Linked DNA regions of Coturnix japonica. The protein of the gene in region 7 purifies or fractionates together with the protein of the main gene of each other region. This does not show direct contact. Links are inferred from orthologs where the notes say so. Each region holds a gene or a part of one and is shown on either strand. Other genes may lie near its edges.

The links.
Region 1: the proteins of SNRPB2 (region 7) and SF3A1 purify together in Homo sapiens (affinity purification with mass spectrometry; 5 studies listed by BioGRID and IntAct, with this or other methods). This does not show direct contact. The link is inferred for Coturnix japonica from reciprocal best matches to the Homo sapiens genes SNRPB2 and SF3A1.
Region 2: the proteins of SNRPB2 (region 7) and SF3A3 purify together in Homo sapiens (affinity purification with mass spectrometry; 6 studies listed by BioGRID and IntAct, with this or other methods). This does not show direct contact. The link is inferred for Coturnix japonica from reciprocal best matches to the Homo sapiens genes SNRPB2 and SF3A3.
Region 3: the proteins of SNRPB2 (region 7) and RBM17 purify together in Homo sapiens (affinity purification with mass spectrometry; 3 studies listed by BioGRID and IntAct, with this or other methods). This does not show direct contact. The link is inferred for Coturnix japonica from reciprocal best matches to the Homo sapiens genes SNRPB2 and RBM17.
Region 4: the proteins of SNRPB2 (region 7) and PHF5A purify together in Homo sapiens (affinity purification with mass spectrometry; 4 studies listed by BioGRID and IntAct, with this or other methods). This does not show direct contact. The link is inferred for Coturnix japonica from reciprocal best matches to the Homo sapiens genes SNRPB2 and PHF5A.
Region 5: the proteins of SNRPB2 (region 7) and SF3A2 purify together in Homo sapiens (affinity purification with mass spectrometry; 6 studies listed by BioGRID and IntAct, with this or other methods). This does not show direct contact. The link is inferred for Coturnix japonica from reciprocal best matches to the Homo sapiens genes SNRPB2 and SF3A2.
Region 6: the proteins of SNRPB2 (region 7) and GEMIN5 purify together in Homo sapiens (co-immunoprecipitation; 3 studies listed by BioGRID and IntAct, with this or other methods). This does not show direct contact. The link is inferred for Coturnix japonica from reciprocal best matches to the Homo sapiens genes SNRPB2 and GEMIN5.

What each region holds. Positions count from the first base shown.
Region 1 is NC_029530.1:9,667,099-9,670,957, forward strand, and holds the end of SF3A1 (splicing factor 3A subunit 1), read left to right. Parts: intron 1-376; coding exon 377-531; intron 532-1,188; coding exon 1,189-1,290; intron 1,291-1,507; coding exon 1,508-1,579; intron 1,580-2,470; coding exon 2,471-2,572; 3' UTR 2,573-3,225; downstream 3,226-3,859. UniProt on the Homo sapiens protein: Component of the 17S U2 SnRNP complex of the spliceosome, a large ribonucleoprotein complex that removes introns from transcribed pre-mRNAs.
Region 2 is NC_029538.1:3,130,397-3,133,200, forward strand, and holds the end of SF3A3 (splicing factor 3A subunit 3), read left to right. Parts: intron 1-97; coding exon 98-208; intron 209-528; coding exon 529-619; intron 620-1,196; coding exon 1,197-1,252; intron 1,253-1,576; coding exon 1,577-1,654; 3' UTR 1,655-1,874; downstream 1,875-2,804. UniProt on the Homo sapiens protein: Component of the 17S U2 SnRNP complex of the spliceosome, a large ribonucleoprotein complex that removes introns from transcribed pre-mRNAs.
Region 3 is NC_029516.1:3,129,649-3,132,439, reverse strand, and holds part of RBM17 (splicing factor 45), read right to left. Parts: intron 2,179-2,791; coding exon 2,027-2,178; intron 1,342-2,026; coding exon 1,265-1,341; intron 870-1,264; coding exon 771-869; intron 280-770; coding exon 207-279; intron 73-206; coding exon 1-72. UniProt on the Homo sapiens protein: Splice factor that binds to the single-stranded 3'AG at the exon/intron border and promotes its utilization in the second catalytic step. Involved in the regulation of alternative splicing and the utilization of cryptic splice sites.
Region 4 is NC_029516.1:45,262,667-45,267,484, reverse strand, and holds the start of PHF5A (PHD finger-like domain-containing protein 5A), read right to left. Parts: upstream 2,955-4,818; 5' UTR 2,798-2,954; coding exon 2,746-2,797; intron 2,630-2,745; exon of another isoform or gene 2,535-2,629; coding exon of another isoform or gene 2,483-2,534; intron 2,388-2,482; coding exon 2,364-2,387; intron 1,328-2,363; coding exon 1,161-1,327; intron 1-1,160. Other genes in the region: ACO2 (aconitate hydratase, mitochondrial), read left to right, coding at 3,122-3,157.
Region 5 is NC_029543.1:1,224,419-1,229,110, reverse strand, and holds the start of SF3A2 (splicing factor 3A subunit 2), read left to right. Parts: upstream 1-1,696; 5' UTR 1,697-1,753; intron 1,754-2,575; 5' UTR 2,576-2,626; coding exon 2,627-2,752; intron 2,753-3,157; coding exon 3,158-3,229; intron 3,230-3,548; coding exon 3,549-3,595; intron 3,596-4,198; coding exon 4,199-4,308; intron 4,309-4,692. UniProt on the Homo sapiens protein: Component of the 17S U2 SnRNP complex of the spliceosome, a large ribonucleoprotein complex that removes introns from transcribed pre-mRNAs.
Region 6 is NC_029528.1:6,015,436-6,019,476, forward strand, and holds part of GEMIN5 (gem-associated protein 5), read right to left. Parts: intron 3,625-4,041; coding exon 3,465-3,624; intron 2,950-3,464; coding exon 2,737-2,949; intron 2,039-2,736; coding exon 1,953-2,038; intron 1,541-1,952; exon of another isoform or gene 1,411-1,540; coding exon 1,316-1,410; exon of another isoform or gene 685-1,315; coding exon 548-684; exon of another isoform or gene 159-547; coding exon 85-158; exon of another isoform or gene 1-84. UniProt on the Homo sapiens protein: The SMN complex catalyzes the assembly of small nuclear ribonucleoproteins (snRNPs), the building blocks of the spliceosome, and thereby plays an important role in the splicing of cellular pre-mRNAs.
Region 7 is NC_029518.1:2,368,390-2,373,102, reverse strand, and holds the start of SNRPB2 (U2 small nuclear ribonucleoprotein B''), read left to right. Parts: upstream 1-1,460; 5' UTR 1,461-1,553; coding exon 1,554-1,617; intron 1,618-2,142; coding exon 2,143-2,315; intron 2,316-3,998; coding exon 3,999-4,139; intron 4,140-4,713. UniProt on the Homo sapiens protein: Involved in pre-mRNA splicing as component of the spliceosome. Associated with sn-RNP U2, where it contributes to the binding of stem loop IV of U2 snRNA.

The DNA.
Region 1 (3,859 bases), on a different chromosome or scaffold from region 7:
TTTGTAGTGGCTGCATAGCATTGTGGTGGTTTTAAGTTAAGCACAACATAAAAACACTTCTGTCTTGGTTTTTTTTTTCCCTTTTCCTTTTTATTTAAATTGAGGTGCTGGCTGCTAAATTCAGAGCGTTTTCTTTTCTGCAAGATCTGCAGGAAGCTCCCATTCTGCTTGTTGTTTTTTTTCCTGGACTCTCTCCCCTTGTGGAAGATCTTATGTTTGAAGTTCGCATGGTACTGCAGGCTATATTAACTTCTTGCATGAATGGCAACATTTATTTTCAGTCTTTGTTAGTCTGCTAAAAGAGTTCGTGTAAGGGAGTATCTGCTGTATGCTCAGTGGATGACTGTGTGTTGTGCTTTCCCTCATCCCATTCCAGCATTTGTTCCAGCACCTCCCGTGGCTCCAGTTCCTTCCCCAGCGCCAATGCCTCCTGTTCACCCACCACCACCTATGGAGGATGAGCCAGTTTCAAAGAAACTGAAGAGCGAGGACAGCTTGATTCCAGAGGAGGAGTTTCTGCGCAGGAACAAGGTATGTGTGCGAGTGAACTCTCTGCTTGTTGAGAAGTGGAGTCCTGGCCCTGCTGAGCTGTTCAGCCTCCTGTGCTCAGAGGGGTTGTAAAGTCCATTGAGAACACAGAGGGGAGCTGATGTATTTCAAAAGAAAGTGACTTGCTGAGATGGCTCCTTCCTACTGTCATACCTGAACTGCCCTATATTTTACTACAAGGAGCGATGTAGTGCTGCACACAGATGGTGCTGTTCTGTAATTAACAGCAGTGAGAAGTAGGGTTATAGTAATGTAAAGAAGAGATAATGCTGATAAGCTTTTAAGTAGAAGACTGTTAAGCTGGAGGTGCAAGGAGATTTAATATATCAATGTCAACATGGTAGTATGGCAATGTAATATCTTCCGTAACATGAATGAAATGTTAGACTGAATTCCTTTCTGAGTAACAGCATCATGTTGGGTTGGGTCTTAAGCCCTTTAAGAAGGGAGCACTGTTCTCCTGTGCATTTGTTTGCATTATGAAGCCATCTCTTTAGTACCACCGTGTTCACTGCAAAATACTCTGACTTTCAAGATATGTGATTAATATTGGGAAGGTCTGTAAATACTTTGTCTGCTGCTCTTATCGCAGTCCTGAGACTCCTTGCCTGTGAAAGACCTTATCTTTGTTTCCCGTAGGGCCCAGTCACAGTCAAAGTCCAGGTCCCCAACATGCAGGACAAGACCGAATGGAAGCTGAATGGCCAAGTGCTGGTGTTCACCCTACCGCTGTCAGACCAGGTATGTAGCTTATTAACCCGGTCTTTACCCCTTGCTGTGTTCTTACGGAGTGTTTCCACATTGAGAACAGGGGTTGACCTGCATTACAGGAGCTGTAAAATTCTGCATTTTTGCCACGCCGTGGCTTCTTGCCAGGCAGGGTTGTGTGGTGGAGGTCTTCATGTTGGCCACCTGTATAGGGGGAAAAAGTCTGAACAAGGCTTTTGTTTCTTCCTAGGTGTCCGTTATAAAGGTTAAGATCCACGAGGCCACAGGGATGCCAGCTGGGAAACAGAAGCTGCAGTATGAGGTGGGTAACAAGCCCTTCAACGTTGCTTGTATTTCAGTGCTTTTTCACAATAAAATGGACTTTCTTCAAGAAAGTGTTATACCACTAAGACACAGAAAAGAGCAGAGGGAATGGATGTTTTCGCCTGTGCAGCACACTTGGTTACATCGCTGTGCATTGTTGATGCAGGACATGCTTCTAATAGTGGCATCAGTGCATCTTCACTTTGTCACTGTTGAGGATGAGGCCTCAAGGCTTGATGGTATGCTCTGAAATTCAGCCTGTTTTGTGGAAGGACTTCTTGGTTGGAGGTTCTTTTTGTTTTGAAATGCAGCAGCTTACCTTTGTCATTCTGTGGTGAGCTCAAGAGGTGAGCAAGAGTACATTGAAACCCTGGGAACTCTGAAGCAGTGGAGGAAGGAAACTTCTCGAGTCTGGAGCTTTTAGAAAAGCACTGCTCCTTATTAGTAACTTGTTTTCAGTCATGCATGTGCACAGCTCAACCTGCTGCCTAAGCAGTGAACTTTGAGCTCTTACCTCCTTTGGAATCAGGCTATGGGCAGATAATGTTAACCCTTAGCAAGAAGTAAAGCTTAACTAATTTTGTAAAGAACGAAAAAGGGGAGGAGGGGACCTGAGTAGCTTCATTCGTGACTGATTCTGTCTGTCTGTTTGTAGACAGCAATTGTATATCATCTGTTTATGCTCTTCTGTAATTCTCAGCATACCCACCTCTTCCAGTGCCAATTTTGAGACACTGGGGTCTCTCCAGGCTTTTTCAAAGCCTAAAGCACTTTTGTCATCACCTTGTTTTGAGAGCAGTGTCAGGAAGGCTTTGTCTATGTGTGGCTTTGTGGGAGTGGACCATGAAGGTTTGTACCCTGACTGCCTTTATTTTTGTCTTCCCCACAGGGCATCTTCATCAAGGATTCAAACTCCCTGGCTTATTACAACATGACAAGTGGCTCTCTGATTCACCTGGCACTCAAAGAAAGAGGAGGCAGAAAGAAATAGGAGCTCTGGAATCCAGAGATGTAACAGGGCTGCTTTGCCACTTGTGTAACCCCAGCCATTCAAATCCTCCAGCCTTTTAGGGGCCGCTGTGACAAGCTGTCGACTGCCTACCAGCTCTAGATTAGAAAGGGAGACAATGAACCCATACCTGGGTGGCTGATAAGAGGGGGAAGCTGGTAGAGCCCTGAAAGCTGTGTACATGTAGTGAGCTAGTGTGTAGCTGCAGCAGTCTGTCAGTGATCTTTGCTTAGCTAGAATGATGGTGTCCAGGTTTGCTGTCTCTACAGTGAATTTCCTAATGAAGCAACATTGAGGTCATGCCCAGCTTAGTCTAGATCCATCTTTATTCGAGGGATTTTCTGACCAAGAACATCATCTGTCTGACTACAGTATTTGCTGCTTCACTTAACCTCTTTTTTTTTCCCCCTAATTGAAAATTTACTTCTTGATACACTTACTAAGCCCTTTGTTCTTTCTGTCTCATATCTAGGAGCCTCTTGCACTGACCTTGACTTGGAGTTTTATCCTCTCAGTATGAGTGTGCGTGGCTGTCAGTTGTGATAAAGGAGATCTGGGGCTGCATGCTAAGCAGCTTCATTCTCGTTCTGTACAGCCTGTGATTTGTTTTAATAAACGTGCATCTCAGTGCAGGATCCTGTTTGTGGCAGCTCTCATTCTTTGGGATTTAGGCTCTTTGGATGGATTTCGTTCACTCTGGTCTTAAATATGTTATGGAGAAATGCTGGCTTTCATAATCAAAGTGTTTGCTCTGGGAAATGCTTGTATTTCATACAATAGGCTGCAAGGAAAGGATTTAGTTAATTTCCTTACTGCCACAGTTATTCCTGAGCATAACACAGCTGTGTGTGCTAATGTCTGTGTCCATGTATGGGTGTAGAGAGAAGGTTTTGAGCCTAAGCCTCATCAGTGAGAACCCTCTTGGAAATGGTCTTATCCTCCCTGTCCTGCAGTTAACATCTCTTGGTCCTGGGGAGCCTATAGGTCCAGAAAATAGATCAGATCTGTGCTGCACTTCGATATGCACGTAGCACAAACAGCGAGGTGGCATTAAGCTGTGCAGGTCAAGGAAGGCTGGTTGTCTGTTGCTGCCCCAGCAGCGCTGTGATTTGGGCACCCTCTGCTCTTTTGGGACAACCCAAAGCTATGGGTTGTTTGTTGGGTTTTATTCATGGGGTGGAGATGGAGGGGATGGGAGGGTTGTTCTCTATTGGCGGTGCTCAGGCATTACAGGAACATCCTGTTTACCTAACTGTGCATAGGGGAGAG
Region 2 (2,804 bases), on a different chromosome or scaffold from region 7:
CTCTGAACAAGTGGGAGATTCCACTTAATTCAGTGCTTCTCTTCTATTTGAACCTCCTTTGTCACTTGGCCTAATCTTTCTTTGTATTCCTTCTCAGCCAATCCCGTACTGGTTATATAAATTACACGGATTAAACATCAACTACAACTGTGAGATTTGTGGTAACTACACCTACCGAGGGCCCAAAGCTTTTCAACGCCATTTTGCTGTAAGTAATGTTTTGTCACAGGAGCCATCAGTGCCACGTTCAGATAATGTTTATATATCCAGAGCTTATGAAGAGAGCTTAAGGAGCTTATTGGTTCTGCCAATTTCTGTCCGCTCTCCTCTTGTTTGAACACTGATATCCAGGCCTGATTGATGCAGAGCGCAGTCAGTGTCTTGTTACCATCAGAAAAAAAAAGGTGTTTGGGAGATCTGTGTTTTGTTAGTATTTGTTTTACACTGTTTAGATTGCAATATGTCTTATAATAGGCACTGTGGGTGAGTTGGTGTTTCTTCTCAGTGACTTTTTCCTCTCGTTCCCAGGAGTGGCGTCATGCTCATGGAATGAGATGCCTGGGCATCCCCAACACTGCACATTTTGCCAATGTCACACAGATTGAGGATGCTGTCTCACGTAAGTCTTGATGGCATTTCTTTACACAGCACTGGGAATACTACAAAGACAATTGGTATTTACTAACTCTGGCCAAAAATGTATTACCCCATGATTGGTGGCTTATTTAAGGAAGGAGTGTAAGAAGCATGATGCTGCTGGGATTACCCTTCATTGGAACATCTCTCCCAGTTCTTTTGTTTTCTTGCTGAATGCCTACAGAAGTAGATGTTTGCTAGGAATACCAGCCAAGTGTCTTTTTGTTGCCAGCTGTTTTGTCTGCATTGCTTTATGTATGAAATCTCAGCCAAGTGTAGCGGGACACCATTAATTCAGAGCACGACTGAGTGATCCCATGCAACTGGTACTTAATTGTTACTCATCACAGTCTCCATGGGGAAGCCAGCAAAACATTCAGAAATGATGGAGCCTCTAGGGAGATTTTGAAAGCCTGCAGTACATGGGGAAAGGCACAGGAGTGGCAGTGTTTGGGGTTTATTGTATTTATTTATTTTAAAAGCTGATGGATTTTAGTCATTTAAAACCCAGTATTTGAAGGGAAACGGTGCTCATATTGTGAATGACTTTGTATTTACAGTGTGGGCAAAGCTGAAGCTACAGAAGGCTTCAGAGAGGTGGCAGCCTGATACAGAGGTAAGATGATAAAGGCACTGGGATGTTTCTAGTCCAATGTATTTGGGGGCCTTCATCTATCTTGCATGAAGTGGCTCTGGATGGAGAGTTTCTAACACAAGCTGTATCTCAGGCTGAGGTCTCCAGTGCACTTCAGAGCCTTCTGTAATTATTCTGAATCTAGATAAGATCTTCCTGAGCTCACTTCTAGATCCAGTGCATGTCTTCATATAGAGAGGCTCTTGGCAGAGTGGTTGTGCTCAGATGCAAGCAGAGTTTAACTGTGAATGTTGTAGCACAACCTGAGCCAGGCTGCATGCCTCTAAACTGTTCATTCCACTTCAGGAGGAATATGAGGACTCCAGCGGGAATGTGGTGAATAAAAAGACCTACGAAGACTTGAAACGTCAAGGGCTGCTGTAACGTTTCCCAGGTGAAGGATTTCACATCAGGAAAAATAACAGAGGAGCGTCACCAGCTCCAGTTCTTCTCCATTTTATCAATTTCCTTTTTATTTGCATGACCATAGGATACTTTATAGGATCGCTTTCTAGTAAGCCCTTTGTGAAAAGCAGTCTTGTGATGTTATTTTATATTAAAAAACAAAACAAAAAACCTTAAAATAAATGGATTTTTAACTTAGGAAGTGCTGATAATGTGTCTCCTTTTGTATGCTGGAAGGAGGAGGTTTGATGATGGTGTTTTTAGACACTTTCTACATGGTTTGAATTGTTAAAAACAATCAGTTCTTCCATCAGCACTGGAAAAAGAGTTTTTATGATGAGGATTGCCTTCTTTAAAGCACTTATGAACATGCTGACAATACGTAGTAGTCTTGTACTGTATAACAGTTTAATGTCTTTATTTGTGCTCCTTTGCAGATCAGATACTTGGCCTGCATTGCTGCTTTGGTTTCAAGTCTGGCTTTCTATGAGGCTTTGCCTATTGGGATTTTGTTCAGGGAACAAATAAATGAGCTTTGTATAGGATGGGCTGCCGTGTGGGTAGTCTATGTTAGTTTGTCCAGCACTGGGCATTGACTTGATGACCTGGTAGCACAGATCCTTCCTTTGGTTCTCTTGAATCACAGTACTGCCATGTGAATTAATACCCTGTGAGGAGAAAAGAGGCACTGGGCAGAGGCCTTGTGCTTTGTAGCAGCCCTTTCTCTGTCTTTTGCTGCACACAGACATTTGCATCTCCAAATCCAGCAGAGCTGCAGGTAACAAACCCTTCTCCCTGGGTGATGGTTTGCGCAGCTGCTGGTTGGCAGGGTGGGGCTGCTTGCTGGCACCAGGGTATGAGCTGTGCTGCAGCTGCTTGGTGCTCAGAGGCTCTCCATCTCTTGCAGCAGCTGCAGGCTTCTTTTGGGGCACAGACACACAGGGTGAGTTTGTGAGCAGATTCCTTTCCCTGCTTGGGGGTTGAGCAGGTTGGTTCCCTGCTTGTCTCAGGGTTGAGCCTTTTCTGGTTTGTTCTTAGCTTGTCCTGGAGGTGGGTCTGGCTGTGCTGGAGCTGTATCCTCCTCAATAAGGGCTGTTCTAACCTGCTGTGGGTTGAGGGGCTGCCCTGC
Region 3 (2,791 bases), on a different chromosome or scaffold from region 7:
ACTTGTCCAGGTTGTAGAAACAAGCCTTCACCACTCGGCCGCCAAAGTATCTTCCATTTAGATCCACAACAGCTATAATTGCAACAAAAAAAGAGGTCAGCAAGCAGCAAATCAGCGACTAAAAATCTGAGTCCAATGAGCGAGACTGTTTAATCTCTTTGAAGAAATGAACTCTGAAATTCATATGACACAGTTTAATAACCTACCTTTAATTGCAGACTCAACCCGTTCAAATTCCAAAAATATTCTTACAGCTTCATCATCAGGGGCACCAGGAATCTGAAAGAAAACCCAAAAACAAAACAAACCCCAGCAGGTCTGATTAGAACAGTAACAAAACCACTGCATCACGCAGCACTTCTTCACAAAAGCAGAATGTAAAATTAAGCCAATGTAATTCAATTCTTCAGTTGCCAAAGGGAGGTTGAAGACTGCTGAACTTGGGTCCTGTTTCTCTATGGAAACCTTTTGAATCAGCTAGGGTGAAAAGTTTCAGTAATCGAAACTTAGAAGCATCTCAAAGTGAAAGATTAATTTAGCAGGAGGAACTAGAAAAAGTTCCAAAACACTCCAGGATTTTGCTATTTCTGACATTCAGAGTTCACGCTTCACAAATATTGGAAACATTGGAATCGCAACACAACAAAGGACCCTTTGAAATCCTTTAATCTATGCTGCTCCTTCACAGCAGTAGTGTGCAAGTCATGAAAGACAAATGGCCAGTTCAACCTTTGGAGTAACCAGAACAAGAGAAAAAGATTCTGTCTTACCTCAAAGATGACACATTTCCCAACCTTGCCATATTTTTCACATTCTTCCTTAGTTTCAACTTCCAGATCTTCATCCACCTCACCAGCACCCACCATATTCTGAAAGTTTAAACAATAAACATAAGTCATTGGATGCAGCCTGAATAGACAATCATGTAGATAAATCACGGATGCATGCAACGGTGACTATGAATAATTTAAGCTATTGTTTACCAGGTCAAGAACCATTTGGTCACATTCCAGAGCCTAGACAGTTCCCTAATACTAAGACACTGTGACATGGTCCCTGCACAATCTAAATCGGTGTTGATTTACAATTACAAATTGTATGTTTTCCTGTGATAGATTTTCTCCACAACACACAGAGCACCATGTAGGTGCAGTTCAGAACTGTCTGAACTGTACAGAGTCACTGTAACAGGAATGCAGGTTTTAGCGCTTAAATCAGTTGTGAGTGCTGGAAATACCAAGACACAGCTTTAATCACAACTTACCCTTAGTAGGACCACTTTAGTTGGGCATTTCAGTATCTCAGTCAGTGGATTAGAATCTGCTTTCTTGGTTGCATCTGCTAGGAAGAGAAAAAAAGTTAATCATGGAATCATTTTAGACTAATGCTCATATGAAGGCTTTTATCAGAATCTTACTGTTAGCAAACAGTGAAATAAAAACCACTAAGTATAGTTTAGTACTGGTGAGGAAGAGTATTTCAGATCTTGCAGCTACTTGGAAGGTCAATATGCAGAAAAATCGCTGCTACAAAGACCATAGACAATGTCTTATTTCCTTGAGGGAAATCATTCATGAGTTGAAAACTGCATCAGATGCACTAAGAATTAAAAAACAGATCTCCTGACTTCCAGCACTTGAGTTCAGAATTGTGCTGTTCTACTAAGTGGAGATGCTGTTTCTAGACCAAACAACAGCAGGGAAATGAAGGCATTATCTAACACACATGATGGGGGAAAAAAGCCAGCAGGAGTGCAGCAGGATCACTCACTGAAGTGAATGTACAGGTAGAAGGTTTCAAACACTAAAGAAGGACAGCTTCAGGGGGAGGATGAGTTAAAATAATAGAAGACCACTTCAATAAAATGTCGTGAAGGTAAGTTCCCACAAGAAGGAGAACCTTGTTCCAACTAAGTAGTATTTTCTGCTAGAACCAAGGGCTAACAGAAATCCAGGATCTCCCACTGACTACAGACTGTTATTTCCCACAATCATTTTTCACAGTTATTGGTGCAGGACAAGATTACCTTTTTCTGTAGCATCACCAACAATGATCTTGCCACCCCTCTTGCTTGTTTTCTCTACAGAGAGTGCTGTGCTCAGCCCCTGTTCATGCTTTCCCAGGCCTTGACCCTCTCTGAAACCATACTTCTGCATGATTTTATGAGCTACTGTCCCTCTGCAAAAAGAAAAAAACCATCAGTTAGTAAAGGTTTCTTACAATAACATCATCATTTCATTTCTCCAGAGCGTGCAAGTACTCAAAAGTTGCTCACACTTTTCCAAACACATTCAAAGTTCTAGTAGCAAAGCAAGTCACACATCATGCCAAAGTTCATTTAGTCCAGTTTCTGACCTTTTGTCAGTGGCTGGCTTCAAAAGTCTGAGAGAAAAGGCAGATGTGGAACCATCTGCTTCCCCCATTAGATCACATTATACTACCTACTGTTTTGATGTCTGCATAAGATCCAAAGCACGTGGTTTTGTTAGCACTTCCTATAACAAACCTGGATATTCTCAGTATTAATTAACATGGCTCTTCTTTCTGGATTTTCAAGAGTTTACTAATGTAACAATTCTCTAATCTATTAAAAGTACCATCTTTGTTGGCATTTCTTTGGAGCACATAGCTGGATAGACCAAGGCATCAAAGAAATGTCATGGTACAGTAATTTACACCACAGTAAATAATGTACACTAAGTCACTTCCATTCTACCAAGAGGCATTTAAGATAACACAGAAAACATTGGATCAGCGACTACATGACACATACAAAGGCCTGGCTTTGTAA
Region 4 (4,818 bases), on a different chromosome or scaffold from region 7:
ATATTCTCTATAACCCTCCCTTCCAGAGCAGCGAGCTGCTCTACATCTGAACCTACAGATGAGACTAGAGCACGAAAAATACCTATTAGGAATCAATATGAATTGGTCTATTTAACTGATAAACTGCCAAACAAGTTCTTTGGTCCCACAGACAAGACAACAAAACTACTGCTTGTCACAGCACTTCTAGATGTAGAAGGCAGTACCACCAACAGCATTTCTATCCACATATAATACTTAGATACTAAGAAAGATGGTGCTCCCGCCAGATCTACTGACTAAATTCAGACACGGGCTTGCCCTGCAAGACCTCTAGAGAAAATATGGGTGCTGCAGAAAATTAAAGCAGCAGCTCAGTCAGCTAAGTACATTCCTCTAAATCAGAGCTGTTTGTCAGCACACTCTGCTGACATCAGGGTGTGCTGGAGATGGTGTTTGCAAAGGATCCAGCCCCAAAACCACACAGCCGATACTCTCCATTGGGTCCATACTCTGACACACTGCAACCGCAAGCATCACGTTCTTGCATTTCCCTACAGTCTTTCTACTACTTCATTGGCAGTTCTTCATGACTTGCCCTCACTATGATGGATATTATTGAATACCTAGAGAGCGAGCATCTGCCTTGTCAAAGGACGAAGGACACTAAGGGCTAATTTTACTGTAACACAAAAGTAAACATGGGTGGTGATTCTGTAGGCCTTATGGTACCATATATGCCAGTGGCATGATCATACCATGTATGGTATGATCACGGACACAGTAAGAAGCTGATCCTGCCACTGCCTTTGCAACGTCTAAAGTGTCTCTGCTGCTGATAAAACTTTGGCTGAGAGATTTAGTAAGATAACAGCTGAAAGTGGTAACAAGCAGAGCGTGGAGGAAGTGAACTGTGAGTATGCATCGTAAAGCACACAAGGATCCTATGGGATACAGAATCGAGGCACTGCTCGCTACCTCAAAGTGCTCCACAAACACTGGGAACCACCGACAGAAAAAGAAACATGCAAGGAAATGAAAACCAGTGCCAGTTCTGGGAGAGGAACCCAAGCATCCAATGTCCTAACATTAATATCACTTGCTCTAAGTCCCTTTAAAGATAAGCATAGCTATTAAACAAAGACATAAGCAATTCTACAGGAGACTGGATGACAACGTACATCTTTTTCCTGGATGGTGCACTCCTTGCAGTAGTAGGCATCAGACACCCCTGGGCCCCCGCAGATGACGCAGCGCCCTTGGTACGAGCCGTAGTTACACTCATCACATATGCGCACCAGGGTGCAGGGCCGCACGTACGAGTCACAGATCACACATTTGCCATCACCTGCAAGTACAGCAGTCTTTGGTTACAGAACGTCCTTTTCTCCACCCCACATAAAAGAGGAAAAGTCTGCTGGACAAAGAACTTGCCTGTATGCTCAAAGACAACGCAGTTAGACTGCAGAACTTTAGCTTACAGGCACAAGGTGCAACTTTATATTTACACAGACTTCAGAGGAACGAGGGCCAACAGCCAGCCATATCCAAGGCCAAAAAAAGGGCAAACCGGCATAAATTGCCACTTCACAGAGTTGCTCTTGCTTTCTCACAAGGGACTGAGAGAAATACAAGTGCTCTTATCATACAGGCAAACAGCCATCAGATGCCATGGACAGTCTCTGCTCTGCGGGCCCCGATCCAAAACTCTGACCTCCAGATGAAAGGCTTCAGATCTTATTACCAGTTCCCAAGGTATTTAATCCTGACTCTCACAAACAGCTCATTTAACCTGCTCTTCAATCTCAGTCCCAACTGCCCTCAGCTACTACCACTGGGAATCCATTTAACTTCTGTGTACTTCTGAAAACAGTTCAGTTGCTTCAGACTGTGCTTCTCCTCACTTCGCTTGTTTTTAACATTTTTTGGAGCCTAGAAATAGCTGGCTTACTTGTACTGAGCTCCTGCAAGGATCTAATGACCAATTGTGCTTATTCTTTTCTGCTATAGGTGAGCACGAGCACAGAATTATAGGGGTTGGAAGGGATCTCCAGGAATCAAGTCCAACACTTTGGCCAAAGCAGGTTCCTTGCAGTAGGTTGCATAGATATTTGTTTTTGCATATTCATCTGCTGTAGCACTTTTTTCCATCCATTTCCCATTCTAACAGATGCTGAAGGGAAGCTGTGCGGTCTTTTTCTCGCACTTGCTCCATACACTCAGGCCAACACACAGGTCACTCCTCCCAGCCCAAGCTGCAGTTACCTGCTATTTCTATTTGGTTGTGACCCCAAGTCAGCAGCAGAGCAAAAAGAGAAACCGAGCTGCAGGCACTTACCACAGAGTTGGGTTCTCAAACAACTACACGCAGAAGATGTACTTACATTTCTCACAAAGCCTTCCAATTGCTGTAAGGGGAAAAAGAATGCGAAAAAACACATATTACTTGAGGCTACATTTAGAACGCAAATACAAGCGACGCCTGTCCTCAGGGCACACCCACCCGGCCCACAGTCCCTCCGCACGGTGTCCGGCCAACGGCTCCCACCGGCCATAAGGAAACCCGCACTCAGCGCCGCATCGCGATCCCCAACCACATCCCTGCGGCCTCGGGGAGCGCCACGAACCCCGAGCTCAGAGGGCCGAGGGAAGAACGAGGAGCTGCGCGAGGGGCCTGACGGGCACCTAACGGGCACCTAACGGGCTCGAACTGCCGCCCGAGCCCACCGTCAAGGTGCGGAGGGCCACGACCGCGCCGGTACTCACCGACGCCCGCCTGCTTGCGGCAGAAGATGAGATCCGGATGGTGCTTGGCCATGGCGCCGGCGACACTTCTCGGTGCTCTGCCGCCGTGTCCCGGTCCTGTCAGGGGTGTGGAGAGCGTCCGACAAAGCGGCGCTCCGGGAGGGGACACCGACCCGTAACCGAGCTCCGCATGGTGCTTCAAACCCAATCCGCCTCGCTGCTCCCTTCAACGCGGGGAACGCCCGTACCCCCGCCATGGGAACGCCGCTCTCTCCTCCGGTACCTCCCTGCCAGGACCCGCTGGACCCCGCCCCCTTCAGCCTCCTCCCGCGCCAGAGGTATCAAAAGGGCGGACTGACGCCATCGGGGCGCGACTTCATCTTTGTCAGTGCACAAAATGGCGCCGTACTGCGTCCTGGCGGCTCGGCTGCGGGTGAGCGCCGCGGGACGGGCGGGGCCGGGCGAGGCCGGGCTGGGCGGTGGGGTGAGGGCCGCTGCAATCCTGGACGGAGGGCAGAGGGAGCGCGGGGCGGCGGGCGGAGGCGTGGGGCCGGGTCTCCGCTGTCTGCGCGTGTAGGTCAGCGCGTCCCCGGCGCGGCCCGACGCCCGTTTCCATGGCGATGGCGGGGCCGCACCGGCGGAGGCGGCTCGGCCGCCTGATGGGCCTCGGTGTCGGGCGGGTCCCGCCGCCTCCGGGCACCGCTGAGCCTCAAGGTGAGCGCAAGGTGACCGCGCCCGGGTAGGCCGAGATATCGCGCCTGGGGCCGTGCTTCCTCCTTCCGCGGGCTCCTCCTCATCTCGTGCCGTTAGCAGCCTGTGCCCTTGGCTGCCCGGCTCCAGGACTGCGGCCTTTCATGTGGATGGGAGTTCCTAGATCTGTTTGTTAAAGGGGCCGTGCAAGGCCAGGCGGCCACATCAATTATCTTTTTATTATTATTATTTTATTTTCCAAATGGCTTGAATCTACCTTCATAATGACTCTCCCAGTCTTCTCCATTGTGACCTCTAAAACCCACGTCTGCTTGTGCCCATCACGGGCACTACAGTACTAAGGGCATTATCCCGTTTACTATCTACTCACTAATAAACACTTGATTGTTTTTTAAAGCCTAGAAGGCAGTAGAATGCCATTTTCTCATGTAGTGCTGCTTGCTGTGCTGCCCTCAGTACGTGCCACATGGTGAAGCTGAGAGCTCGGACTGCTCCATTTGCCAGCTGTGACCTTGGGGAGGGTGTTCCCTCTACCCAGGGAGCTGCAGCAATAACCTTATCAGAGAGTCACAGAATAGCTCAGCTTGGAAGGGACACGTGAAGGATCGTTGAGTGAGGTGCTTTGAAAGCACTTTGTGAAGAAGGCAGTGGGCGTAATACCAAGCTTGCCAGAGTTCAAGAAGTGTTTGGACAATGCTTTCACACATAGGGCCGGCTTTTTGGGTGGTACCACGTGGAGCCAGGAGTTGGGTTTGATGATCTTTATGGATCTCTTTCTACTCAAGATATTCAGTGATTCTATGGTTCTTACTCACATTTTATGTTATTACTTTGTTGCTCTCGGTGCAGATGTCTTAGAAAAGGACTGTTTTTTAAAGTAAAACTTACAACATGGCATCATTGCAGTTATCTCAGTGTATTCATCGTTGACTGTTAAATAATTGCTACTTTGCACTTTGAAGAGAAACAACTACTGATAAAACATAAGCAAATATTTTATTAGGATAATGGGTTGTTTCTCCTTTTATGGTATGTGCAGTCACGTCAGGTCAAGTGGGTGTGTACTTAAGTGGATATGTGTCAGCACAGCAAATGCATGAAGTTTAGACCTTTGGGAGTATTATATTATTAGATTCAAAGTAGGCTTTTTTTTCAGTTTAAGGGACTGTTACCAATCATTCTGGCTGGTTGCTATAGGAAGCAAATAATAGCTTTTCTCATATGTAGCAGTCTAGAGATGTAATGATAACATGACTCATCTTGCTAGTTGCTGCAGTAGTGCCAGCACTGAATGTGGCATGTGCTATTAATGCTGGTTCTGCTCATCTCCTCTCCTAGAACAGGCTTTTGGAGCTGGAAGCTGGTATTAAGCTTATCTTAAAG
Region 5 (4,692 bases), on a different chromosome or scaffold from region 7:
ACTGTGAATCAGGCAGCAGCCGTTGGTGCTGAAGCACCTGTTTGAGGGCCAGTTTCCAGTGCATCAGTTCTACGTTGGCAGTTACCCACAGAAACAAGAAAAGAGCATTTCTCAGCACAGAGCTGAGCCGTGATCGGGGTTAAATATTCATTATAAAGGTTATTCTGTGCTGATTCAGGATCTTTAGAACAGGAGGATCTTTAGCAGCCTCGGTTTTATGTGAGGTCTGTAACTACACGAGACAGAGTCCAGCTTTTGCTGCTGTAGGGCGATGGTTGTGTTTGTAGAAAGCAGCAGGGTGTGGTTTGCTGGCACTGCTTCTCCTCACCCCCACCGAGGAGCCTGAACTGTGCAGGGGGAAGGGAGGACGCCGTGTTGCACTGATCCACAGAGCACACGTGATAAACGTGAAGCAAAAAGGTGCGTGTGTGTATCTGTGTGTGTGTGAGGAGCAGCAGGATCCGAACCTCAGCTTCATCCGTCCTGAAGTAGAAGAGAAAGTTCACCACGAGCTTCACGAGGCGCTTCTTTAACACTGAAGAAGGAAAGGAGTGATGTGACAGCGAGCCCAGCGTGTGTGGGGCCCCCAAACCATCCCAGCACTCCCAGCATCTCCATTTCCATCCCAGTGCTTCCACCCCAGGACTTCCATTGTCATCCCAGCGCTCCTATCCCAGTACACCGTTCTGATCCCTGTGCTTCCATCCCAATACTCCCATCCCAGCACCTCCAGCTCCATCCTAATACCCCAATCCCAGCACCCCCAGCTCTGACCCAGTACTCCCATCCCAATACCCCCAATTCCATCCCATTACCACCATCCCAACACCCCCAGCTCTATCCCAACACCCCCATCCCAATACCCCCAGTTCCATCCCATTACCCCCATCCCAATACTCCTGTCCCCACCCCAACACCCCCAGCATTATCCCAATACCCCCATCCCATTACCCCCATCCCAATAACCCCAGTTCCATCCCATTACCCCCATCCCATCATCCTATCACCCCAACACCCCCATCCCCATCCCACCCCCAGCTCATATCCAATACCCCCATCCCAATACCCCATCCCAAACAAAACCCCAGCTCTGCCCCAGCACCCCCATTCCAACAGCCCCATCCTAATACCCCCAGTTCCATCCCAATACCCCCATCCCAACACCCCCAGGCTCTATGCCAATACCCCATCCAATACCCCAGTTCCATTCCCAATACCCCCATCCCAATTACCCCAATTCCATCCCTTACCACCATCCCAACACCTCCAGCTCTATCCAACAACCCCCATCCCAACACCCCAGCTCTTGCCCCAGCACCCCCAATTCCAACAGCCCCATCCCAATACCCCCAGTTTCCATCCCATTACCCCACCCCATCCCACCCCCACCCCATTACCCCCATCCCACACCTCAATCCATCACTCCCCATTCCCACCCCCAATTAACCCCCCCATCTTCCACCCTCACCCCCTTCCCACCCCCCCCTCTACCGCTGCCCCTTCTTGGGGACCCTCATCATGGATCTCTGCCGCTTTCTCTGCCGGTTGCCTGGACAGGACAGCAAGCTCCCGTTCGTTGTACCTCATGTCGGACCCCAAACGACCACCCCAACCCTACAAACCACCCCTAACCCTACAACCACCCCAACCCTACAACCACCCATACCCGACCCGGTAGTGCTCTATCCGGAACTAGAGGGGATGGAAGGGGGAGGGCAGAGCGCATGCGCCGGGAGCGGGGCTGAGCACGGCGGTATGGGGGATTTAGGGGGAGGGGATGTGGGGCTTAAAGGGGGGATATGGGGGAGTGAGACCCTCATTGAGGGGATGGGGTGGTCTGGAGGGGGGTCTTGGGCCCTGTGGGGGATTGTTTCGGGGCAGTGACCGTCGCTAAGGGAATAAGGGCCTGTGGGGCCTATAGAGCCTGTGGGGCCTATGGAGCTTATGGAACCTGTGGGGCCTGTGAGGCCTATGGAACCTGTGGGGGCTGTGGAGGCTGTGGGGCCTATGGGGCATGTGCAGCCTATGGGGCCTATAGAGGCTGTGGCATATGGGCCTATTTGGAGCCTGTGGGGCCTATGGAGCCTGTGGGGCCTATGGAGCCTGTGGGGCCTATGGAACCTATGGAGCCTGTGGGGCCTATGGAACCTATGGAGCCTGTGGGGCCTATGGAACCTATGGAGCCTGTGACCTGCACTGGAGAATGAGGGGGGTGAGGGGGCTTAGAGGGGTTCTTAGTGGAGGGACAGGACCCTCCAAAAGGAAACTGGGGGGCTATAAGTGGCATGGAGAGTTCGGGGGGTGTTTGTAGGGGGCTTTGAGGTGAGCTTTGGTGCTCGCTGAGGGAATGGGGGTGTTTAGAGGGGGGTGAGGGGGTGTCTGGGGGGTTGTGACCCCCATGTTAGTGGCTGGGGGGTGTGTGACCCTGTGTGAGAGGGTAGAGGTGGGCTGGGGGTGGTTTTGTCTCTTGCTGAGGTAATGGCAGTGCCTGGGCCGTGTCCTCGTGGCAGGGCTCAATGCGAGGCCCAGCTTAGGGCTGTGTTGTCACTTATGTGTCTTTTCTTCATTTTTCCAGACTTTTATTTTATTTTTCTCCTGAAGTCTCCAAAGCCCAGAAATCCCCACCATGGATTTTCAGCACCGTCCTGGAGGTAAAACGGGGAGTGGAGGCGTAGCTTCAGCCTCAGAAAGCAACCGAGACCGCAGGGAGAGGCTTCGGCAACTGGCTTTGGAGACCATTGACATCAACAAGGTGAGCCCCAGTCCTGCAGGCTACATGGGGTGAGGTCAGGGCTTCATCTCAGCAGAGAGTGAGAGGTTTAGTGGGGATCTGTGGAGTGGAATAAATACTTCTGTTCCCACTGATGAGGGACTCGAGCAACATGTGGAAGGGCCAAGCAGAGGGATACCAGCACTGGGCTTCTGTTATGTTCAGTCTTGGCACTGGTTCTTATTATGCTGCAGTTGGGTGTGCTGTTACCAGTGAACACAACTGCTCTTGTTCCTTTTTCTCTATATTCCTAAAGCAGTGTTGTGCTGATCCCTTCACTCCATGAGCTCATAGAGTTCTTACAGTGCAGCTCTGCTTTAGAATCTCGGTTGTTCAGTTGTTCCAATGCAGATTTTACATGTAACTTTTCAATCCTTCTCTTCCTAGGACCCCTATTTTATGAAAAATCACTTGGGTTCTTATGAATGCAAGCTTTGCCTGACGCTCCATAACAATGAGGTGAGTTGAGCAGCTGTCTGTCTTGATCTCCATGGCAGCAGATATTTTAGACTAATTCTAGCTCCAAGTGCTGGAACCGAAGCTGTTCCCGTTGGCTGATTGCTGGAGGGCCAATGGGGGGAGCAGAGGCTGTGTGTGTTAAGCATGACAAGTTTCTGACAGTTCAGCAGTTGTGAGCAATCTGAAATTTGTGAGTTTGATTCTGCTGTGCTCTGAGGATTAAAATATCTTTGTCAGTGTGAAATGTCACCTCTCATCTGTGACAAATATCTTTCTGTTCAGGAACAGTTCAGTCTTCATAACTTTCTTTTCCCCCCAGGGAAGTTACCTGGCACATACGCAGGGGAAGAAGCATCAGACCAATCTGTAAGTCATTCTCCACCGTGTTATTCTCCATTACTTGGGCACATTAAAATTAGATAATGAGCACCTATAAATCTTGGCCTCCATCATGTAGTAGCACTCTGGGCTTGAATGCTCTTTGTCTCTGTTTGTTTCCTAGGCATTCACCAGCTCTGCTCTGAACAGTGGTGCTGACAAGCTCCACTTCAAAGCCAGCTATGGCATTTAGATTAAGTATAACTGTAAGGGAAGCTGTTTTATGAATACAGCTTGAGAAAAGTTTGTAAGCTTTAATCTAAGAATTCAGGTTTGCTCTGCTTTAGATACCTGGCTTGTGTAATTCATTTCCTTTTTGACTTTTAAGAAGTCATCTCAGCTCCATCTGTGGAGCTGGACATCAAAGTCCTCTTAGGAGTGGGTGAGGTGATGGAGGTGACAGATTGTAGTCAAGGCAAGGAGTGGAACTGGCCTCCCATGGTGCTTGTGGAGGAGGAGCAGCAGTTTCCCATTATGCTTTCTGTGAAGTGCTGAATGCTCCGTCATACAGAACTCACTCTGCCTTTTAGAGTATCCTTCAGAACCAAGTGCTGATAACCATTTAACACTGCGCGTTTCCAATGAACCCAGGGCTCGTCGAGCTGCCAAGGAAGCAAAGGAAGCTCCTGCCCAACCTGCACCAGAAAAAGTCAAAGTGGAAGTGAAGAAGTTTGTGAAAATTGGACGACCAGGTTACAAAGGTTTGTCAGCAGTGCCTGTCATAGCAGATACCCCGTGGCTGCTGGAGCTTGCTTGAAGTGCAGTGCTGTGGGCATGAATTGTTCATCAGCCTTTTTAGCAGAGCTATCCATAAATAAGATATGGGCTTATCTCCTGATGTCCTTTATTGTTTAAATTACCCATGGGTTGTCTCTTTATTGCTGACAGTCGAGTGAGAGCCATTTTAATAATAGATCAGTACGTCTCAGTCTCTGTCAGTTCTTACTGTAGTCATATGGGAGATGGTGGCATTGCTTCAGTCTCTCTTTCCCTTTTATTGTGCTCTGCCATCTCTATTATGGCAGAGCAATATACTATTGCTCACAAGTCACCCACTGGATGTATAACTCAGTTTTTTTCCCCTC
Region 6 (4,041 bases), on a different chromosome or scaffold from region 7:
GACAACAAAAAGTACTTTTGCATCAAAACACTGACTCCTGTAGGTTAAGGCTGTGTATGCACCAATCCTGACAACGAAACATACCCATCTTCATTGCCAAGGGCCAAGAGTTTACCATCTGGTTTCCAGCTGATCTCTGTATGTGCAGGTAGTTTGTGCTGTGGAGAGAAGATGCAGCTATTACCAGCCATCACACAAACTCTTAGGTCTCTCTTGAATACATCAACAGAACACAACTGGCAACTAGGAATTACAATTAGTCTGCAAAACAAAAGCCACCCAAGTGTCTGCTGCATTTTGTAGTAGTGACATAAGTTTGGGCAATTGAGGACTGAATGAACTGCAAGATGATGGAAGAATCACTGGCTACATCCAGCGCAGTGGAACGTGTCAAATGAAATGTCTTGATTCCAAAAGGACCTTGTTGTTCCACCTCCTTATGCTCCTTAGTAAGTTCTGCATGTTCCAAGAAACTTCAAAAGCCTACAACTATGGGCTACAGAACTATAACCACAAATCCATAGAAAAAGGCAAGAATCATACTCACTTTAATTGAATTAGTGTCTCTGATGGTTTTGTTGATGTCATTTGCCTCTCCACTAAGTTTCCAAGGGTTGTGTTGAAAAACAATACCTTCTCCAGCACAACTATATAAAGTTACAGAGGGATGTTCACCTTCTTCTCCTACTCAACAGAGGAAAAAAAAATCTAAGTATACTATGCTCTTCGTCAGTCTTAGGAAAAGCAATTATTCTTACTATAAATCAAAACAGTATTTTAAAATGCTGTATGTATGCTTTGATTCTCTGAGATCTGGCAGCAAGAAATTCTCAAAATACAATTCCCTAAAAGGACCCCTCATTCATTCTCCATAGCACAATTGCTGCACACATTAAAACTCCCTTTAAATCCTGGCCAATAAACCCCCCCAGGTTGCATAAAAGACAAATGGAGCTGTTCTGTTTAGTTTTAATGACAGAAAAACAGTTAGAGCTAAATAATCTGTACTTGATCCTAACCAATTATTGTGGAGAGCCTACATAGCTATTTCAGCGCATTACAAACATGTAACTATGTGGTGTTGTGCTCTACTCCCATCCACTTCCCGAACCTTTCAAAATACAGAACAGATTATTTTGCTCCCTTGGCAAAACTGTTACCAGTTTCTCAGGCAGAACGCATCCTTAGTGGATAGAAAGGACTGCTACCAAGCAGATGGAGCTCACATCCATAAGGAAGGGAAGCACACCAACTTTGTGGCATCTGTGTGCTCTGTATGGATTTCTACTTTGTAACAAGACATTATAACACTCACCAGAAGATAGTGGAGGAGTTGGAGGTCCCCAGGCTAATGTGTATACAGTCTTCTTGTGGTAAGTACTGGAGATCTGTGGGGGCTTATTCTTAGCACTGTGCAGGAAGGTAAGGAAACAGGAGTAGTCTGATTGCAGCAAGGGGAAATACAGAATAAAACCCCTAACAAAACCAAACTGAAACTAAACCAAATCCAAAACAAGCAAAAAAAAAAAAAAACCCAAAATTCAAACTAATGTATTTCCAGTAGTGAAAACAGACGACAGGTGCTTCAAAATACTAAAGCAATGGCTCAGCCAAGCCTTTGATGCTTCCTGTAGAACACTACTAAAATCAGAACAAAACTGTCCTAATGAATTGCATCTGCATGTTGCTCATTTTATGGAACTTTTTCTGGCTTAACTCATCCTTGACTGATGACTTCCAACAGGTGACTGTTACACAATTTGAGTAAGGTTTCTTTAAGAGCTGCCAGTCACAAGGAACAGATGAAAAGATACACTTAAAATACATCTGACTACTTTAAATTTAACTTTTAACAAATATCAAATGTAAACCTCAGGAAAGACCACGTCATCTATGTGTGCTGCCATACCAGCAAGATCGAATACTAATGAATCTGAAAACTACTTTCTTACCTGCTGGATAAGGCATCAAATATGCCAACCTTTCCATCCTCTGTTCCAAAAGCCAAACAACCTTCTTTAGTTGGATGCCATGCTAACTGCAAGAAAAGTACAAAGAGCCCCATAATGACAAAAGGAATTGACAATTTATTTTTAAATAATAAACAACAGGTTAAGCACTGAAATCAAAAGCACTGTCCCTTATATTCACCATGCTAACTACAGCAACTCAATTTAACCACATTGTGATGTGAATCAAGGACTCTTCCCTTAACAGTTACTGGGACAAGAGGAAAGGAACTGAAATCATTGAAATGCTACCTGACTGCTACATTACAACATAGAGTCATACTTTTGGTGTGATCAACTAACATGTTGTAATGCTGCCATCGTTTACTAGATGTTAGTATTTAGCCAATTGCTGTTCAAATTCAAACTGAAGGCATCAGTGCCAGTTTTTCTACATGTTAAACTTCCTAGCAAACAAAAGGAAACTGTGGATGACACAAGGAATGATCACAGTTGTTTACAAAACCAAGAAAGTGAGGCAATAACCACCTAAACTTCAGCTGATTTTCAGTATGTGTACTGTAAATACCTACTGTTCTAAAAATGTCTAAAATGCTGATCAATTCTAAAATTTATATCATGCAAATTGAGAGCAGAAGTAACAACTCGGCATTATAGGATTTAGTTAGGAAAAAACCTTCTTCAGTGTGAGAGAAAAACATTCCTCAAAGAGAAAAATGGAGTGAGAAAAGAGACAAGAAAAAAGGGGAATGTAAAGCACACTTACTGCTGTAACCTTGGATTTTATGCTTTGCCAGTAGGTTTTCACATCATAGATGTTGCTCATAGACAAAGTATTCCAAACGCGGATCATGCTGTCTCCAACACCAATGGCAAGACAGCCTGGGTCCACAGGGGAGAAGGCGAGACTGTAGACAAATCCCCCAAGTGAAGGCATTGTCCAGCTACAATCTAGAGTTGATAGGTCCCAGCACTTTATCTAAAGAATATTTAAGGAACAACGAATGATAAAGTGACTGGTATGATGGGGGGGGAAAAACAAAGCACAAGTGAGAGGAAGACTCAGAGTATGCACGTGTCAGTATGAGTCAAAGACAGAGCTGTATTAACTGCAAGACTGCGATGGAACAGGGCTATGGTTTAATTATATGGTCCTCTTCTAAATTCAAAATAGGAGGCACTGTGCTGCCTGTAAAAATCAAAACCAAACCATAACAACCCTTCCTCCCCCCACAAAAAAGGCAGCTATTAAACGTTTGATTTTTCAAGTCCAGAGGGCATAACCATTCTGTCCTCCAAGGTAAAAGCTTGAGCTTACATGCTAACAAAGAAATGCACAACTTGTGCTCAGAAGAAATGTTGAGCCATGATGTTATAAAGGGCAGGGATAAGCCTGCTTTAGGAGAAAATGTGTGGTCATCAAAGTGCTAGTTTCACTCAGTCAAACTGAACTGCCGCTGCTATTTTGATGTTAATTTTAAAATGGGTTCTTACATCTCTGTCCATTGAAATGGAAAGAAGCAGCTCTTTGTCTTGATGCTTCAGGGAACACAAATTGAACACAATACGGGAGTGATTTTGCCCTTCTGAAGATCCCATTAGTGTCCACTTGCGTTTTCCAGGTTGAGTTAAATCCCAGTGTAGCAGTTCTCCTCTGTGAAACGTAAAGTGTGTATATTTCATTCTTCACTTCAAAAAAATCATATCAGCGCTCACGCACATACTGCAAGTGTGAGAGTAATACAGATAGACACACATGCACTACACGTCCCTCTACAGAGATAAAACTACCCTACAGATATCCATTCCTAATCACATTGGAAGTGGAAATGTCAACTGCTTCCATTAAATGGGCAAAAACCACAAATAGTACCATTAGCAGTCAGTATTCAGTTAGATTATTAAATGAATTGTGGGGCAAATAACAGCCTTCTAGAAGACTGAACTTCCCCTACACTCTTAGCCTGTCCTCTATCTTGCTATACTAGGAAGGGAGGAAGATGGGGGTGTCAGTGTTTCCTGCCAGTTGTTCTTTAAATATCAATGAATTAATGTACAATTAATTTTACTT
Region 7 (4,713 bases):
ATTTCTGTATTTCCTGTCATTTTGTCCATTGTCTCTGTGCATGTCCCAGTGTTTACTGATGTGCTGCATAATCACGCTTGACACAGCAGAACAGAGCAGTCAAAAAGTGGAACCAAACTACAGAAGACAAATCCACCCACATCATACACATGCTTCTTACTAGCATGTGATTCCTCCCCACGCTGTTGAGATGAAAACATTTTTATACAGATAGATCTGTGTGAATTTAACAATGCTACAGTCTTAATACTGCAGGATAATTACTGTGAAAAGTCTGAAGCATTATTATGTGCACGTGGACCAAATCAAAGCTATGAAGATTGCATGATGCTATGAAACCAGGAACAAAACTTCCACTGTACACTGCTCTTGATTACCGTCTTGCTTTAATGCAGAGAGCTGCTCTTAGAAGAATAAAAATGAATCTTCTTACAGGTTTCATAACAAACAGCTGCAATAATAAATCAATGCCAGGTATCCTCGATCTCAAGTAAGGGACTGGAAAAGAGCAGTGGATACAAAGCAGTGTTCAAAAACTCTTGTCTTCTCTGCTTTGCTTCTCCAACACTTCTTAGAGTCTCTGGAAATCAGCTACCTGTTAGTTGCAAGCATGATTCCAGCATATTATATTGGTGATGTACTGTAACTGCCTACTAAGTTGCCAGAGGCATTCTTGCTAAGAAACTTGGAATAGTTTGTACAATTCTTCAAGCTCTCATGGACTTTTAAACAAATAACTCCTTTTGTGAATAGAATAGTACTGTACCTCTCTGGGGATTAAGAAAACAAAAGTAATCTAAATAAATCTAGGGGGGAGCCTGAGGAATGAATGTTGCTTCTATTCTGAATCAGCAGACAGACTGAAATCCCACCTGAGGAAAGGATGGCTTTCTGCTTTATTGCATTCAAATTCTTCAAGAATAAATCAGCAGTGCTTAGAGTGACTCTGAGCAAGTATGAGTGCGGCACTGAAGAATTACAGAAGCCATGAATCCTTCCTTATTTTCTGTCAGGTTAAGGTTTTTTGTGTGTATGTTTTCATTAGTTTCTTCTCTATGAGCAGCTTAAAGACTTCAAAAGAAAGTCATTCATATTATGTCACTCCAGAAGACAATCAAATTCCCTTAGCTACCCTGATTTGATAACAAGTAAGTAGTTTTGGACTTTGTAACTAAATTATGAGTCATGTGGACTGTGTTACTGATCAACGCATAAAACACATGCTATACCTTTCTAAAAAACGTTTCAATACATTATTCACGCCTGGATTTCACAGACATGCTTTATGTTAGTCGCTTATAAAACAATAAACAGAGAAAAGTGCCGGGAACTGCTGTCTAACACTATTTAGACTTGCGGTGTGTATCAAATCAAACCACCATCTTGGAGCCCTTCAGGATCCAACCAACAAAGCACCGCGCATGCGCCGCCCGCCATCGCGATTCCGACGCATCGATCGCTCCGGGAGCGGCTCTGCGGCCTGCGTCGTCACGGCGGCCATCTTGGCTGCGCGTGTGCTTTGTCTGCCGGCTGATCGGCGGCCGGCTTGAAGCATGGACATCAGGCCGAACCACACCATCTACATCAACAACATCAATGATAAGATTAAGAAAGAAGGTAGGGGGGTGGGGGGGGGGCAGTCCGCTCATGTCTCGTCCCGTTGCTCTCTGTTGAGAGGCCGTGGTTTGGCTCTGAGGCGGCTGGTTGGCCCTGATGCCGTGCCCTGAGCCTCCATCAATAACTGTTTATCATCATAACTTTTAACTTCAAATGCTCTTCGAGGCCTGCAGGCGTTACTGAGCGGTTTGTGGTGGGTGTCAGCAGCAGCTGTGAGTGGTGCTCATACATAGCCGAGCTGTTTGTCCTTTTGTGTAGTTATTACCTATATAAAGTTAATACAGAGTTAGTACGGTTTCTTCTCTAGCTGAGTATTGCGAAGCCAATACACCTCCCTGCTAAAACTGGGCGAATATGCATTTGTACAGCAGTTCTAAGCTTGTGTAGCTTACTGCTGTGAGGTAAAGGTTGCAAAGATCAACTGAGGGACACCATATTCTCTGTGTGAGTATCTATCTCTGTAGATACAGACGTTTGCGTGCAACCCATTATAGTCTTTTTGTGTTTTTTCTTTCTTGTTAACAGAATTGAAGAGGTCCTTATATGCATTATTCTCACAGTTTGGTCATGTGGTTGACATTGTGGCTTTGAAGACTATGAAAATGAGAGGACAGGCTTTTGTTATATTTAAAGAACTAGGATCATCTACCAATGCTCTGAGACAGCTGCAAGGCTTTCCATTTTATGGGAAACCGATGGTAAGTTATTTTCTTCCTTCTCTGTGGAAAATAACATTACTGTGGTGTGTTGCAGTGTTTTGGTACTTGTGCCTTGGGAATTAACTGTTAGATGTACTTGCAATTGTGCTATTACGCAGTAATGTCCTGTCTTGACAAATATATGTATTTATACAAGCTTGAGGCGCACTGGAGAGACAGTAATTGAAACACACAGTGAATTGAAACACACTTGCAGCCTGTTTGGGTAACTGGGCATCTCCTAATTTGGGAGGCTTATATGTGCAAACGGTCCACTTCAGTGATCTGTGGGTACACTAATACTTTCAGCTCGTGTCTTTGGGCGATAAGGAGAGCTATACTGTTGTTTTGTTGAGGCACACACTTCTTTCATGAATGCTCTCAGATTATCTAACAGTTCCTGGTGTATGGGAAACTGTTGATCACAGCCTGAACCTCTGATTAACCACCTGAGGCAAGCAATGAATCAGCTGTGGGAGCACAGATGAAGGTAATTCAGCTGTGCTGCCAGAAGCATGTGAAGCTTGGCTTCACCTCTCCCGGATCTCATTTAAGGGCTGACTACTACTAAGGCAAGGTCTCTTTCTCTGGAGATCACTCCTTTGACCCTTCAACATCAGTGAGCATTTTCTATTTATCACAGATTATCTTTCTATCACAATAATCTTTCATACCAAACACCTGTTTAACCTCTGTTTACCTATTGACTGTATAATTAACTGTATAATTGTATAACTGTATGCTAAGCAACTGTGCAAGCTTAGTTCTGTCACTTACCCTTAAAGGCCTTTGTGTTCAGTAAAATGCAGTAGAGAATTAAAGTGCATTAAGGCATTATAAGCATTCAGGTGCATTTCCCTCTTTGAATACTGACTGCAGGATGCATCCTATGTCTAGAAATGGACAAAGGATAAAAAATAAATTCAGCTGGTGGAGTAGTCTTCAATAAGTGATAGGATTGTAAAAGTATACACATGTGTATATATACGTGTGTAATGCTGTGCCCTTATATACTCGTAGCTCCATCATTTGTCTTTCACTTGGGCACTTTCAGGAAGCTCTTGTCAGAAGAATAGCATAGTTGTGCTGCTGATACAACCTATGCGGTCTGGGTTGAATTGAGGCAAGTGTTTATTCTGTTTGTTTATTCTGACTTTTACTGAACTCAGTTTTCTGCAGAGATCTGAGATCACTGGAACCTTATCAGCTCCACCCCCCAGGCTCAGATGCTTTATCCCCCTAGGTTTTTTTTTTTAGTAGCAGCTGGTGCCAATTTTGTTAACTGATGTTATATAGCTTTGTACATCTGCTACCTTGACAGACACGGTAAAGATGCTGTTAGCTGATTAGAGTGCCGATTCCAATGAGGGTCATAAAATTAGTAATCTCTTCTCATGAGAGGTCTATCCTGGTTTTTAAAAGTTCTTTAGTTGCGATCAGAATTAATCACAGAATTACAGAATGACCCGGGTTGGAAGGGACCTCAAGGATCATGTAGTTCTATCCCCCCTGCCTAGCATAATTAGGCATAATTAGCATGTTACGTACTCTGTAAAAATATAATTTAAAACAGTGTTGCTACAAATGTATTGTGTGAATGAAAGAGAATGCGTTCAGTGAAGTTGGTGTGAGATTTTCAGTATAACAAACAGTACAATTTTGTTGTTTTTTTCCTTTTGAAAGCGTATTCAGTATGCCAAAACAGACTCTGATATCATCTCTAAAATGCGCGGTACTTTTGCTGACAAGGAGAAGAGGAAGGAAAAGAAGAAGGCCAAGTCTCTGGAACAGTCAGCTAATGCAGCAAATAAAAAGATAATTCAGGTAAGGGACTTCTGTATTTCCAAAAAGAAGGGAAAAAGCAATTCAAACCGTACACCCTCTTTTTTGGTAATGTAATGTTTTGGATCTTTTTAGGACTAAGTACTTTAAGTTCTTTCAATTGTTGTCTCTACATTTGTAGTGTTCTTTAGCACTCATGAAAGCTGCAGGATGGAGTATGATTGCATAGTCTTTAATGCATTTTATTTTATTGTTTTTATTTTTAATGCTTTTTTTTTTTCCTCGTTCCTGTTGTAAGATGAAAACTAAGGTACAGAGCAAAGGTACAATAAACCAATGTAGAAAGTAACAATATGTATATGTTCATATATGTAGAATGGTAGATGGGTAGAACATTGTGATCCATTTGCAGTTAGATGAGAAGGAGCTGGCATGGAATGTATCTCCTGTAATGGTTGGCCTGGCCTAGGCTAACAATATTTAGCAGTTGATTTGCAAAGACAGGAGGAAAAAAAAAAAACGAAGGCACAAATTTTGAATATTGTCTTAATTACTGTTTCTGTAAAGGCACAGTTCGTTGTCAATGAGACGTATGTGATCATAAAAATAACTTCAT